Elephas maximus indicus: one gene and its partner. The protein of the gene in region 2 purifies or fractionates together with the protein of the main gene of each other region. This does not show direct contact. Links are inferred from orthologs where the notes say so. Each region holds a gene or a part of one and is shown on either strand. Other genes may lie near its edges.

What was found. The genes of interacting proteins can lie anywhere in the genome.
Region 1: the proteins of OGT (region 2) and CXXC1 purify together in Homo sapiens (affinity purification with mass spectrometry; 3 studies listed by BioGRID and IntAct, with this or other methods). This does not show direct contact. The link is inferred for Elephas maximus indicus from reciprocal best matches to the Homo sapiens genes OGT and CXXC1.

What each region holds. Positions count from the first base shown.
Region 1 is NC_064829.1:58,942,637-58,950,427, forward strand, and holds the start of CXXC1 (CXXC-type zinc finger protein 1), read right to left. Parts: upstream 3,065-7,791; 5' UTR 2,192-3,064; coding exon 2,189-2,191; exon of another isoform or gene 2,103-2,188; intron 1,333-2,102; coding exon 1,214-1,332; intron 1,112-1,213; coding exon 1,011-1,111; intron 687-1,010; coding exon 451-686; intron 363-450; coding exon 186-362; intron 1-185. UniProt on the Homo sapiens protein: Transcriptional activator that exhibits a unique DNA binding specificity for CpG unmethylated motifs with a preference for CpGG.
Region 2 is NC_064846.1:98,167,428-98,175,200, forward strand, and holds the start of OGT (UDP-N-acetylglucosamine--peptide N-acetylglucosaminyltransferase 110 kDa subunit), read right to left. Parts: upstream 3,057-7,773; 5' UTR 2,825-3,056; coding exon 2,788-2,824; intron 1-2,787. UniProt on the Homo sapiens protein: Catalyzes the transfer of a single N-acetylglucosamine from UDP-GlcNAc to a serine or threonine residue in cytoplasmic and nuclear proteins resulting in their modification with a beta-linked N-acetylglucosamine (O-GlcNAc).

The DNA.
Region 1 (7,791 bases), on a different chromosome or scaffold from region 2:
ATACAGGGCTATGGGATCTCCTGCCAGTCCAATACATCTGGTTATGCCCCATCTATCTGGACGTGTCAGGCCCCTTCCCACCTGCCTGGATACAACCCAATCCACCCATGCATAAACTGAACCAGCCGCTCCTGGACACAATGTCCCCACCCCACCTGACCCTGCCCAACTCCACCCATGCTCACCCGGGCCCGAAGCTGGCACTGGCGTAGCCGGCACTTCTGCCGGATCTTGTTGGGGCCTCCAAACTTCTTCATGTCCCGGCAGAAGTCACAGTGGCCACAGTCTTCAGTACGCCGGCACGCCTCACACTCACCGCACATGCGGGCTGACCGTTTGATCTGTTGCTGCTGCTGGTGATGCTGGGGAAGATGACAGGAATGAATCAGGAACCCATACAGGGTGCAGGATGGAACCATCCTATCCATCCCAACCACCAAAGTCACTCACCTGGCTGGGTGTGGGCACCAAGGGCTGTGGAGAGGCTTTGTGGGGTGAAGCAGAGCCCCGAGCAAGAATGGCCCCGACCCCTGTCCCAGACCCCACCCGGCGCTGCAGGTCTGGATCCGGGGCAGGCCTCTTGCGCCCTCCACCCTCATCCCGGGGCTCACTGCTGTCCCGCTCACTGCCGTCCCGCTCCCGTGACTTCTTGTGCCGGTAGCGGATCTCCAGTTTGGGGTCCTTCTCTGTCGGGGGGAGGATGGGGCCACTGGCAGTTCAGTATTGGGGGTGGTTTGGATGGTCCCGGAACTCTTTATTTTCCTTTCCTTCCCATACCACCCACCCGCTCCATCCCCCTGCTCCAGGGCAAAGCTGCTCCCTCTTGCAGGACCCTCTATTGTGGCTCACGATGGAGCCCCAGTTCCAGCTCACCACGGACCAACAATTGCTCTGCCCCCAGACACATCATCATTATTTCCCACACCCCCCTCCCATTGTGGTTCCCTCCTCCTCTTCCTCGCCCTTTGAAGCTCCACCTGCCTGCCCTGTCTATCCCACCTCCCCCTCACCTCGGCACTCCCGACAGTACCACTCCCGGATGGCTTTGGCCATCTTCTCAGTGATCCGGATGCAGTCCCCATGAAACCACTCATTGCAGTTGTCACACCCGCTGCAGAGGATGGGGCGGGTGGTGGAGAAGTGAGGGCCCAGGCCCCATCAGCATCACCCAACCCTGCCAGGTATCAACCCCACCCGCGTCTCCCCGGCTCACATCATGAAGCAGTTGATGTCTGGCTTGCGGCAGATGCAGTAGATGGGCGCATTCTCCCCATTCTCCGACTTGCTATCCTCCCCAGCATCTGGTGGCTCTGGGTCTGAACCGTCCCCCTCCTGTGGGATCCCCCATTATGACTCCTCAGAGAACCCCCAAAATGGCACCACTCCCCCTCATTACAACTCTTATCATGCCTCGCCACAGATACCCATGGCTTTGCTGAGAACTACCATCATGCCTCCCCATAAGTTTCTCCACTATGGTCCTTATAGACCAGGCAGGATTTTGTTCTGTTGTACATAAGGTCACTATTAGAACCGACTTGACAGCACCTGACAACAGCAGCATGGTCCTTACAGACCCCCCCGTAACACCTCATTACTGCCTATAGACCCTTTTTATTCTACCCCAGACCTCCCATCACTCATGCCACTGACACCCCATGACTTTAAACACAAACCCTCATAAAGGCTCATCACAAACATCCTAGTACTCGCCATATACTGCCTCCTCCGTGGCTCCCCACAGACTTCCACCACGGGTTCTCACAGACACCCCGTGATTTACCACACAAACTCCTCATCATTGTTCTCCACAGATTTCCCACTATTTACTCCACACACCCTCCTCACGCCGCACTACAGACCGTCCGACACGGCTCATCACAAACTCTTTATCACTCTGTCCAAAGAACCCCTCATCACGGTTCTCCACAGAACCGCCATCAGTGATCCCCACTAACCTCCCATTATGGACCCCCTTCTGGCCCCTCACAGTACTTTCATCATGGCTCACCACAGACCTCCGTCGTTCTTCCCAAAGGACCCTCTGAGGCTCACCACAGACCCCCCCATCATTCCGCCCACAGGCTCCTGTTATAGCTCACCACAAACTCCCATGCGTCTGTCGTCGGACTTCACCATTACGAACCTCACCGACCTCTACCGCAGAACTCCCTGGACTGGTACTCACCATATCTCCAATTCCCAAGCACCCGCTCGCAACCTCGGCCAGCGACAAGGTAACCTGCACAGACCACTCCGCGGCGTCCGCGGCCGTTGCAAAGGCGACTAGAACCACTTCCGCTTCTGGTCGCGCCAACCGGGCACCGTACCCTATTGCGCAGGCTCCGTACGGCGGCTCCGCGGCAAACAAGCTATACGCCCGCCTAGAGCCCTGAATGGCTCTTAGGAGCCGCCATCTTGACTATCGAGTCCGTAAGGCGACCGAGTCCGTAAGTTCCCGTGAAACATGGCAGCGCCTGTATGGCAGCTTTCCTCTGGGGGCTGCCACCTTGTCGGTCGAATCCGTACGCTGACCGCCTGTACTGTATCGACGTTAACAAGCAATATGGCCTCACCTACTGCGCGAATTCCATGAAGCCGCTGTCATCTTGGAGTCTGATTCCGTAACCTGGCCGAGTTCATAAAGTCACAGGCACCATGGCAGCGCCCTAGTTGTGGCTACCGCAAAGGCGCCGCCATGTTGACAGTTGACTCCGTACAACGACTGTTTGTAGTGCAGTGGCCAAGCGGCCTCTGAGGAAACGGATCAGATGAAACCTTTCATTCATTCCTCCACTCAATCACTTTTCCTTTCCACATGCGTTAATGGGGAGCCAACAGGTTATATGGATCGCGTTAGGAAGGCAGTCAGTCCTCCCCGTTACATCTCTGACTTCACCTCACAGAAATTTTCTTCTTCACGCTTCCTCACTATTCCTCAAATTAGCCAGGCGCGGGTCAGCCTCTGGGCCTTTGCTGTTTTTACAGGAACAGCCTCGCCCTGGTGGCGCAGTGGTTAAAGCGCTCGACTGCTAACCTAAATGTCAGCAGTTCGGCTGTCAAAGCTTAAAATTGAGCATGATCTGTAAATAGAGACGTAACCCCCTTGTGGGCGGGGCGGGGGAGGTGTCTGACCTCTACATTCACAAGGGAGGAGAACCAATAGGAACAAGCTAAGACTGATTCCTACGAGGTGGAAGTCTGACATGCCTCCACCCTCCAACCTTTTTACCAATTCTGACACCAACTGTCCCCTCCCAGGACACTCTTTACTTCTCTTTGGGTTTGATAACTTGTTGCAATGACCACACAGAACTCGCAGACAATACTCACGCTTATGGTGTTTATTAGGGAAGTAACCGATTACAATTCAGGCTCTTGAATGCTCAGGACACAGTTCTTCCATAAGGACAGCCTCATTTCAGACTCTCTGGCCCCTCAGACTCTTGGCCTCTCCAACCTCTTGGCCTCTTGCTGGTCCTTTGGCTTTTGCTCTGCTCAGGCGAGTGTTACAAACTCTTTTAGCTCTGTTGATAAATGCCCGGGGGGCACCCCACTCTGCCAATAAGCCTTGTGCCTCACCGTGTTCAGCTCTAGCTCCTTTGGCTGGGAAGCCCCACTGCAGCCTTCTTGCGCTGGTCTCCTAATTTCTGCCATCTTGCAAGTCTCTCACTGTCTTCCATGTTACAGCTCCTTTCTGTCTCCTGGATGTAGGAAGTTCTCAGCTCAGGGATCCTGGATCCAAAAAATAGCCTCTGCTCCTGGCTCTTCTTTCTTGGTGGTGTTGAGATCTTCTCTTCTTGCCTCTGGGATGGCTCATTTTAAGCCTAGAGGGATGGCAAAATTGACCAATTCTCTCATTAGGGTGCCATATACCTTATTTGCATGATCCCACCTACACAAGGGTGCCATGCACATTATTTACATTATTAGCAAGCTATCCAATTCCTTTGGTGGGACACAAGCACCTCATTTACATAGTCCCACCCTGTCATTTGGTGAGAGCTCCAAAAACTACGGCTAGAAGGGCCATACTAAATAATTCACTGTGCCACAAGAGAACAATAGTTTTATTGAGGACTAGAACGGTTCAAAACAGGCAGCACAAAGCAAGTGCAAAGTGCTGCAGAGGGGTTATGTAGAGAGGGATTTTTACATACAGTTTAGAGCAATGAACAAATCTTGACATCAGCTTATCTATTTTAACATTCTTTCTGAGAAAGATCTGCACAAGCAATCTTTCAAAGTACAGTCACAAGACCCCCTCTTTAGGTAACATTTTGCCATATGTTTAACCACATTCTTGCTCCCTCCTTGACTGCTCAAGTAGGGTAGTTAAAACTTTACAAAAGTGGAAAATTCCATCCACAATCTAAAAGCAGAAGTGAAGGTTAGAAGCAAAATAGAGTCTGATTCAAACCTGTGTCAGCCACCTTAGTTATGCCAAGCACCTTAGATTTTTAGGGTGCACTCACACAGAGCTCACCAGGTGCTCCACAGGAGAAAGATATGGCAGTCTGCTTCCATAACGATTTACAGCCTTGGAGAAAAAAAGAAAAGGCCACATAAATCAGAGACTACATCAGCCTGAGACCAGAAGAACTAGATGGTGCCCAGCTATAACTGATGACTGCCCTGATAGGGAGCACAACAGAGAATCCCTGATGGAGCAGGAGAACTGTGGGATGCAGACCTCAAATTCTCGTAAAAAGACCAGACTTAATGGTCTGACTGAGACTGGAAGGACCCCAGAGGCCATGGTCCCCAGACCTTCTGTTAGCCCAAGACTGGAACCATTCCCAAAGCCAACTCTTCAGACAGGAATTGGACTGGACTATAAGATAGAAAATGATACTAGTGAGGAGTGAGCTTCTTGGCTCAAGTAGACACATGAGACTATGTGGGCAGCTCCTGTCTGGAGGGGAGATGGGAAGGCAGAGGGGGACAAAAGCTGGCTGAATGGACACAGGGAATACAGGGTGGAGAGAAGGCGTGTGCTGACTCATTAGGGGGAGAGCAACTAGGAATACATAGCAAGGTGTATATAAATTTTTGTATGAGAGACTGACTTGATTTGTAAACTTACCTTAAAGCACAATAAAAATCATAAATAAATAAAAGATTTACAGCCTTGGAAACCCCATGGGGCAATTCTACTCTGTCCTAGAGGGTCACTACCAGTTAGAATTTACTCAATGACAACAGGCTAGGTTTTGGTTGTTCTTACCCTCAGAATCATTCATGAGCAATGATGGAAGACCTTAAATGATGATGAGTGTGGGTCCTAGTGAGAAGTGGCCAGATCAGAAGTAGATTTTGAAGTCACAGTCAGCCAATGTCACCAAGTCCTCCCCTCCACCCCTACTGCCATAGGCTGCAGATGTCCACTTTGATTTTCTAGTTTAGTTGGGGTCTCCCAATATTCTCTTGGAGCCTTGGGGGCACAGTGGTTAAGAGCGTGACTGCTAACCAAAAGGTTAGCAGTTTGAATTCATCAGCCACTCCTCGGAAACCCTATGGGGTAGTTCTACTCTATCCTATGAGTTGAAATTGACTCGATGTCTACAGGTTTTTAATATTCTCTCCTGTAAAGGTTTTTTTTTTTTTTTACTTAAATTGGGTACAATATTCATTAAAAAAAAGAAATAGAGCTACCATATGACTCAGCAATCCAACTGCTGAGAATATACACAAGGGACTTGAAAGCAGCCACTGGAAGAGATGTAAACCAGTGTTCACTGCAGCACTATTCACAATAGCCAAAAGGTGGAGACAACCTAAATGTCCATCAATGAATGAATGGATAAACAAAATGTAATACATGCATACTATGGGTTATTACTTGTCTTTGTCATCTAGTGCTGCTGTAACAGAAAGACCACAAGTGGATGGCTTTAACAAAGAGAAATTCATTCTCTCACAGTTTACCCATTGCCATCAAATTGATACTGACTCATAGAAAACCTGTAGGACAGAGTAGAACTGCCCAATAGAGTTTCCAAGGAGTGGCTGGTGAATCCAAACTCCCAACCTTTTGGTTAGCAACCTGAGCTCTTAACCACAGTTTAGGAGGCTAGAAATTCAGTTTCAGCACTAGGGGAAGGCTCTCTCTGTTGGTTCTGGGGAAGGTCCTGGTCATCAATCTTCCCCTGGTCTAGGAGCTTCTCAGTGGACTGGTCCTGGGTCCAAAGGACACACTCTGCTTCTGGCACTACTTTCTTGGTGGTATGAGATCCCCCTACGTCTCTGCTTCCTTCTCTCTTCTATATCTCAAAGGAGATTGACTCAAAACACAAGCTAATCTAGTAGCTTGAGTTCTGCCTCGCTAATATAACTGCCTCTAAACCTGACACATTAACATCATAGAGGTAGGACTTACAACACATAGGAAAATCATCAATGACAAAATCGTAGACAATCACACAATACTGAAAATTATGACCTAACCAAGTTGACACACATTTTGAGGGGGACACAATTCAATTCATAACACTACTCAACCAGAAAGAAAAAGGATGTCCTGATATATGCTTGTGGTATGATGGATCTCTTTTTTGTAGCCTTTCCCGCCATGGTCTTGTAACTCCTACAAAACGATTGGGTTGGACTATTAAAATAAGGTGCTTGTGATTCACCAAGGGGATTGGACAACTTGCTAATAATGCAAATAAGATGAATGGCAACCTTGTTGGGGTGGGAACATGCAAATAAGGTGTATGGAACACTAACAAGAGGATTGGTTGATTTTGCCATCCCACTGGGCTTAAAATGAGCCATCTCAGAGGCAGAAAAGGGCACCTCACTACCACCAAGAAGAGATGGAAGCAGAGCACGTCCTTTTGAACCCAGGTTCCCCACACTTACAGCCTCCTAGACCCAGGAGACAGAAAGAGAGAGCTATAACACTGAAGATGGCTCAAGGCTGTGAGAAGCAGCAGCAGAAAAACGGCAGCAGCAGAACCAGGAGACCTGCGTGAGATGGCACAATGGGCTTCTTGGCCCAGGGAGCAAGGCAGTTACAGTCAGTGCGCCAACCTACACAGTGAGAGAGATAAGTGTCTTCAGCCAGGAGGCTTACTGGCAAAGTAGGGTTCCTCTGGGTACTTGTCGTCGGAGCTAGGCTTACTGACCCACAGAGCTAGAGAGCTGAGTACCTTTGGGCTGAGATTTACTGGCAGGGTGGGGTGCCTCTGGGCACTTACTGGTAGAACTAAAAAGCTTTGTAACACTTGCCTGAGCAGGGTAGAGGTGAGGTTGAGAGTCTGAGGGGCTGAGGGCCAGAGAGTGGCCTGTCTGTGGGCACAGTTGGGAAGAAGCTGTCCTGATGGAAGAACTGTATCCTGAGTCATTCCTGATCCTGAACTGTAACCTGTTACCCCCCTAATAAATCCCATAATTGTAAGTATTGTCTGTGAGTTCTGTGTGGCCTTTACAATGAATTATCAAACCCAGCAGAGAGGTAGAGAGTGCTGTGGGAAGGAAGGCTGGTGTCAGAATTGGTAAAACGATTGGAAACAGAGGTTTGTCTGACCTGCGTCTCATGGGAATTAGCCTTGGACTGCTGATGCTGATAATGAGTCTCCTTCCCCTCGTGAGGTTAGAGGAGGTCAGATGCCCCCACCACCCCATTCTGACAATGCTACAACATAGGTGGAGCTTCAGGCCATTATGTGGAGTGAAATAAGTCAGTCACAAAAGAACAAATACTGTATGAACTCATTTATATAAAAAGACAAATGTATAGAGACTACAGTTTATTAGTGGTTACCAGGAGCAGGAGGGAAGGAGAAA
Region 2 (7,773 bases):
CTTTCCTTCCCAAACTAGATAGGAATTATTTACTTTCCAATATTACAGTTTTTATGATTAAAAGTACTTTTAAATTATAAATCATAGGTAACATCTAAAGATGCAATGAACGTTATTCCTTAGCCCTTAGTTAACATCCAGAAACAAAACATAAAACGTGTGATTTGCAAGGTCACAAAGACTTACTAATGTCAAATAACCTACTGGGAAACATAATGGCTTTAGGTTGGATTTGCAGGGTGGGGGAGGTGTACTAGTAACAATGTATCTCTTTACCTGGGTGTGTTTTTACTCTTTATATTAATGTTTCTATATTTCGCAATTTAATTTTTTTAAAGGGTGACTCTAGAAACTGAACATAAGGAAAAAAACTAGAAGTCAAAGTGCTATTTTTAAAACAGCTGATAAACAAGATAAATACATCTGTCAAGAGCCAAAATATTTAAAGGGGTCATCCAACAATTTAAATAAAGACCCAAGATTATATTGCTCTTCTACCATCCCAAAACTCACAAGGATACTAAATTAGCTAAGCCCCACCCACGCTGTTTTAACACTAGCATTTTCCAAAGAGCTCTGGCACTGAAGAATTAAGACACTGAAAACAACCCTATATAAACCAAGCAGTTACCTACAACTGTAATGGTTTAAAAAAAAAAAAAAGGAAAATGCTAATATAAAACATCTGATAAAGTTCAACAAGAAATGAATACCAAATAAAAAAAACTTTGCTATGTGTGACTTAATTCAGATACAGAAAGATAGAGGATATGGCTAAAAAAATGGCTAAAGCCCCCCAAAAACCAAACCAAACCAGTTGCCGTGGAGTCAATTCCAATTCCGACTCATAGTGGCCCTACAGGACAGAGCAGTACTGTCCCATAGGGTTTCCAAGGAGCAGCTGGTGGATTCGAACTGCCAAACTTTTGGTTAGCAGCCAAGCACTTAACCGCTGCGCCACCGGGCCTTCGGGGGGAGTGGGGGGACCTAGCAAACTGCCCAAGTCTCAATCTCAAATGCTTATTTGAACAGTAATGCGTTACTGGGAATCTGACCATGGCACTTTAACAAACAACATGCCTAGATCTATCTAGATGGTTGAAATGGGAAACCACGGACAAATTATTTAAACTCTACCAAGGTCACAGTGACAAACTCAAATTTGAGCCTAGCACCCCAATCGTTCAAGCTGGTGTGTGTTCTGGAAAGCAAGTAAATTTTCTGACTGGAATGCACAGCTGACCACGAACACAAAGAGCAGAGGGACTTGCATCCAAATCTGGGGGAGTTTACCTCTCTAGTAGAAACTACAAGATTACATTTTAAATAATTCTTCAGAGCTTCCTAGCTCCTTATTTTAACACATTACTTTGTCACTTTTCAAAGTTGCTTATCTGCTATTATAACACTTCCTCTAATAAAATAACACACTCAGAAAAGGGCAAGCTAGTACATAACCAGAATCTTAAACCTTTAAAAATCACTATGGGGCAAGGAGGAGGGGACCACTGACTAATTATTAATCCCACCACCTATAATTATGGATAAGAGACTATTGAAGATTCACCTATTACTTACAGCACAATGTCCAAAAATAACAAATAAAAAACCTTTGACACATTTCAACCAATAAACAAACAAAAAAAAAACCTCGTAGGAAACCTTAGAACCACCGCTCAATCCCCCCTCCCTCCCTGCCCCAAACAGCCTCAATATGGAAAAGCAGCTAAAGGAAACCCCTAGAATTTGGTTGGGTTTTTTTTTTGTTGTTCGTGTACCAAATGCTTTCGACTGAATTGTCTAAAAGGGCAACCGCCTTGCACTTGTGCAGCTACACTCCAGTTGCTTTACAAACTCTTCAAGCAGGGATGAAACTTAAAAATACATACACCCTATGAAAAAAAGAGACTCTGGGCTATAGGATGGGGATGGAAGACCCAGAGGCGGCGGCGGAGGAATACATTGAGAAAGTAACACAAAGCGAAAATTCTGAAAGCAGGATGGTCAGTGCGAAAAAAGCGCACCAGGCTGGTTTGTCCCACAGGGGTAGGAACTGGACCACAAAGCTTACAACCTCTGGAAGGAAAGGGCGTGGTACCCCGCGAGAGGGAAAGGAGAGTAGGGTGGGAAGTCCGGGCCAGCGGCAGCATGCGGAATTGGGCGACGGCAAAGCGAACCCCTGGAAATTTCCAATCCAAACCCGGGCCACTCAACCGAAAGAACACTAGAAAGGCGCTGCCCAGCGGGGTGCTTGCCCAATGTCCCCACTTCTCAGGTTCCTTGCAGCAACCGGCGAGCTTCTGCTCGTCTTTGGGTGATGCAAAGCGGGGATATGATTACACCGGAATGGCACCCCCGCCCTAGATTGACAAAGAACCAAACCTGGCTAAGGCGGAAGGGTTGGAGGGGGCTGTGGAGAGAGAAGAGGAGAGGGCGGTGAACTGGTTTCGGACAGAGAACGGTAGTGAACGAAGAGTGAAAGGGCAGGGATTCCAATGCAGTCCATTCTTAGCGCGCACGTGTGCTAGAAGCGTTCCGAGTAGAACGCGAGAACACACACATTGAGAAGCCAGAAAGGACGCAAAAAGCAGAAAGAATGAAAGAGATAAATGCTTGAGAAAGGCAAGACAGAGGAAACACCGACCAGATGCCGGTAGAACACGAACAGCTCAGCAATGCCACTGATGTAATGGGGGCGGCTAGAGGGAAGGGAGGGGGCGGTGAGAGGCAGAGAACGGCGCGAGACCCCGAAGCGGCGTCTGCTAAGATAGAACTGGACACCGATACCTGTGCTGTCGGCCACGTTGCCCACGGAAGACGCCATCTGGAGCTTCTTGGGGGAGAGCGAGGAGGGGGTAATTGAGTCCCGCCGCCGCCGCTAGTGGCAACAATGTTTCTGGAGGTAGTGGTAAGAGAGCAGGAGCTGTACTGGTGTCCTGTGAGTCTTAAGCGGCGGCAGGCGTCATAGGCTTCGAACCTTAGGAACTCTGGTTGACCATCTACCTCTCACGATCTTGAAATGGCGGCGACGGCTCCTCGGCCGAAACAACACGGGCCGGAACTACTTTCTGTTACAATCAAGTACCAGAGCGGAGGTAGCGCGGTAACCGGCGCTACAGACGACAAAATGACTATAATCAAAGTCGCTTGCTCTTATGTAGCCTTCCGCGTAGGGCCCATTGCGACAAACACGATTGTGTCGAGAGCGCATGCGAGCAGCCCTGTCAACCTGACTCGCGTCTAGGGCACACTGTCTAGGGCATGAGCGCCCAAGTTTTGTTTTGTTTTTTTATTATAGTGAAGCATAAGGTTAAAAAAACCCATACATTTGCCGCATAAATTTTTTCCGAAGTGGTAAAGTATCGCCAATGATGTAGATTTTAAACATAAATGCCAAAGGAGTCTAAAAAATTTAATCAAGTTTATTCACACAAAAAATGGATAGTTACAAGGCTGATGATTACAAATCATGGATCAGTTCTAAGCAAGTAAATGTAAATAATCTTATTTAAAAGCTGAACTGTTCTTCAAAATGATGGCGGAGGGGGTTCCAATTTGAACACGTCTTAATTCAGACCCCAGACATTGATGAAAACGACTGATACTTTTCACAGGGCCAAATGAATGCAAACATCTCAGGTTTTGGTCATATAGCCCAAAATTTGAAAATCGTTTTGGTATTCAGGATAGTTCTGCCCACATTAATGGGGCAGATGTTAATGCTTAATAACTCAGGGACACCCTGAGGGTTTGCACTCCAAAGGCAGGCATTGAAATGTTAAATGACTCATATTCGTCAAAATCCATGACTCTTCTGAGTTGTGGCTTCATTTCCACCAAATAGCTCTGCAAATCATCACAATCTGAGATTCCACTGAGCTCAGAAGCAGTTCAACAGAGATAAATGAATTCATTTCCCATCTGCCTAAACCACACATCTAGTTTGAGTCTGAATTACCTCCACTTCCTTGAACAAATCAGCTCTTATTATCCCACTGCAGTTTCAAGTCCGTGTTCAGATATGTTGTCACATTAGTATTAATTTATACCTCATATCTTGTTTCAGAAAGGATTTAAGACAGCTTGCCACATTAGCAAGAAATTAGTATAAGCCACTAGAGGCCATGATTTGGATCTCTAAGTGTCCTTTTATTTCAAAAAGTCCTTGGTCTAAGAAAGCAGGTCAGTGAATTTCTTCAAAAAGTTTTTACTACTACATTAAAAAACAAAAAAGTCCTCAATGCTCTGCTTTAATTTCTTTCAGACAGTCCACAAACTTTTTAATTATGGATAGGAGCACAGAGAAAAGTCATAACATGATCATTTCTTCCATCACATAATCAGGAGTCACATCATGCAGTGAAAAAGACAAACTGCACAAACCAAACCCACTGCCATCGAGTCGATTCCGACTCACAGCGACCCTATAGGATAGAGTAGAACTGCTCTGTAGGGCTTCCAGGGAGCGCCTGGTGGACTTGAACTGCCGACCTTTTGGTCAGCAGCCTTAGCACTTAACCACTACACCACCAGGGTTTCCTGACTGCACAAACTGTCCTGAAAATCGGGCACCAATCTCTTAATTGGATTTAACTGGTAAAATCTTTTTTTTTTTCTTTCCCCTCTCACTAAAAGTACCCCATCTGTGATGAATAAACTCAGTTTTTCAACTTTTAGAACAGACTTCTCAAATTCTATTGGCAGATGTTTGGGTCTAACTGATTAACAGGTGATAGCTAATTAAGTAGAATGCTTTATGTTGTTAAATGCCAGGTAATGCTCCCTGCATTTGGCCCGTTGAAACTTGTGGTCTAAGGCTCCCCACCCTGAGAGAAGAGTCAAAGGATATTATGATACAATTTTGCTGCTAGGGAAAGCAGGATGGTGGGGCTCACAGGGGCACAACAAGAAAAAAAAACTCTGTTGGAATCTCAGCAATCTCATTCCAGGTACCTTCTAGGAATAGCATTTGGAGGGTTTAGCTTGAAGGACTTAGTCATCAGACAAACACACCTTCTTCAGCCAATCAAATAACAATTACTAGAGTCTCTGTATGCAAGGCAGTGTGGGGGATACAGAAATGAACAAGACAGGATCCTTGCCCTCAAGGAACTTGAAGCCTAGCCACTAGAGAACAATACAGGAGAATATTATTTAAGTGATAAAATATGTTCTTGTGTGTGTGGCTAATTGCCTCCATGAACAACTGCCTCCTTAGCCATGAGGCAAGAAGAACTGGATGGTGCCTGGCTATCATTACTAAACATTTTGATCAAAGATTCTATAGAAAAATCCTGATCAAAAGGGGGGAAACACAGAACAGATTTTCAAATTCTCATAGATGCCACACTTTCTGGAACCATGGAGGTTGGGTGAACCTCTGAAACTATTGCCCCAAGATAACCTTTAAACCTTAAGCCAAAAATATCCCCTGAAGCCTTCTTAAAATCAGACAACAGTTTAACTTAACTAGTAAAGAATGTCTTCCTTGAGTATTGTGCATTTTTAAGTTCTATCTATATGGGATCAAATTGGCAACTTGAAAGATTAGACAGGAAACTTATAAGGGGCAGTGAGTTTATGCTAATGGAGAGGAACAATTCAGAAAAGGAGGGTGAGAATGGTTGCACAACTCGAAGAATATGATCAATGTCCCTGAACTGTACATGTAGAAATTGTCAAATTCATGTATGTTCTGCTGTATATATTCCCAACAACAACAAAAATAAATTATTTTTAAAAAATATGTTCTATCTAAACACACAATATAGGCGAGGTCAGCACAACTGGATTAAACCAAAAGCAAAGAAGTTTCCTGAATACAGCTGAACACTTCAAAGGCCAGAGTAGCAGGGACAGGGTTTTGGGGACCATGGTTTAAGGGGACATCTAGGTCAATTGGTGTAACAGAAAGTATTAAGAAAACCTTCTGCATCCCACTTTGGTGAGTGGCGTCTGGGGTCTTAAACACTAGCAAGTGGCCATCTAGGATGCATCAATTGGTCTCAATCCACCTGGAGCAAAGGAGAATGAAGAACACCAAAGACAAAGGTAAAGATGAGCCCAAGAGATAGAAAGGGCCACATAAACCAGACTACATTCGTCTGAGACCGGAAGAACCAGATGGTGCCCAACTACCACTAATGACTGCCCTGACAAGGAACACAACAGAGAATCCCTGATGGAGCAAGGGAACAGTGGGATGCAGATTTCAAATTCTAGTAAAAAGACCAGGCTTAATGGTCTGACTGAGACTAGAGGGATCCTGGAGGTCATGGTCTCTGGACCCTTTGTTAGCCCAAGACTGGAACCATTCCTGAAGCCAACTCTTCAGACAGGGATTGGACTGGACTATGGGATAAAAAATGATACTGGTGAAGAGTGAGCTCCTTAGCTTATGTAGACACATGAGCCTATGTGGGCAACTCCTGTCTGGAGGCAAGACGAGAAGGCAGAGGGGGACAGGAGCTGACTGAATGGACACAGGGAATACAGGGTGGAGGGGAGGAGTGTGCTGTCACACTAGGGGGAGACCAAGGTGTATATAAGTTTTTGTATGAGAGACTGACTTGATTTGTAAACTTTCACTTAAAAAAATTTTTTTTCACTTAAAGCACCATATATATGTGTATATATATATATAAAATATATATATGTATATATATATATACATATATATATATAAACACCAAAACCAAAACCCACTGCCATCGAGTCAATTCTGATTCATATATATATATATATATATATATATATATATATATATATATATATATATATATATATATGTTTCTGTCTAAAAATACCTGGGGAGAAAACAATCACTTCAGGCTGGAAGGAAGGTGAGGGAGAAGGCCTGAGCTGGGCATTGAAGGAGGTACTTTTGCGTATTTCTTCTCTTTCCACTGATTTCTCGTTCTTTTTCTTTTCTTTTTTCCCTTTCATGTACAACAATTTTTATAAATCAGCTGTTTCTTCAGCTCCAATCCCAAATTTTGCCACCCTGATAACACCATTAATGGTGTATTAATTTTCTATTACCACATAACAAATTACCACAAACTTAGCAGCTTAAAACAGCACACATTTTGTGGCAGCCACGCCAGAGTTGTGAAAGGAAGCAGAGCCCAGTGTGCTGCCACTGCCGCTGCCAGTGGAAAATGGCTCCAAAGGTAAAACGAAGCGGGGAAAATACACCAATGTGGCATTGTAGCCTCTCCAGATGTTTAGGGATAATATTCCAGAGAAAAACCAATTCCTCTGAATTAGGTAACCAGTCATAATGAAGAAAACTCGTTGCTGTCGAGTCAATGCCCTGTAGGACAGAGTAAAACTGCCCCATAGAGTTCCCAAGGAGCACCTGGTGGATTTGAGCTGCTGTCCTTTTGGTTAACAGCTGAACTCTTAACCACTACACCACCAGGGTTTCCATAATGAAGAAAAGTAGTCTTAAAACCTTCTGGAAATAAAAGTAAAGAAGAAACTGATTTCATGATAGTACAACAACCATCATTAGCCAGTGATTTTGTAAAAGATGATTCTTTTTTTGGTAGTTGCTATGAGTCGGAATCAACTCGACGGCAGTGGTGGTGGGTAATGGTTAAAGAAAGAGCCATGGTGGTGCAGTGGTTAAGCACTTGGCTGCTAACCGAAAGGTCGACGTTTCAAACCCCCCAGCTCTCCGCAGTAGAAAGATGTGGCAGTCTGCTTCCGTAAAGATTAAAAAAAAAAAAGATTACAGCCTCGAAAACCCTATGGGGCAGTTCTACTCTG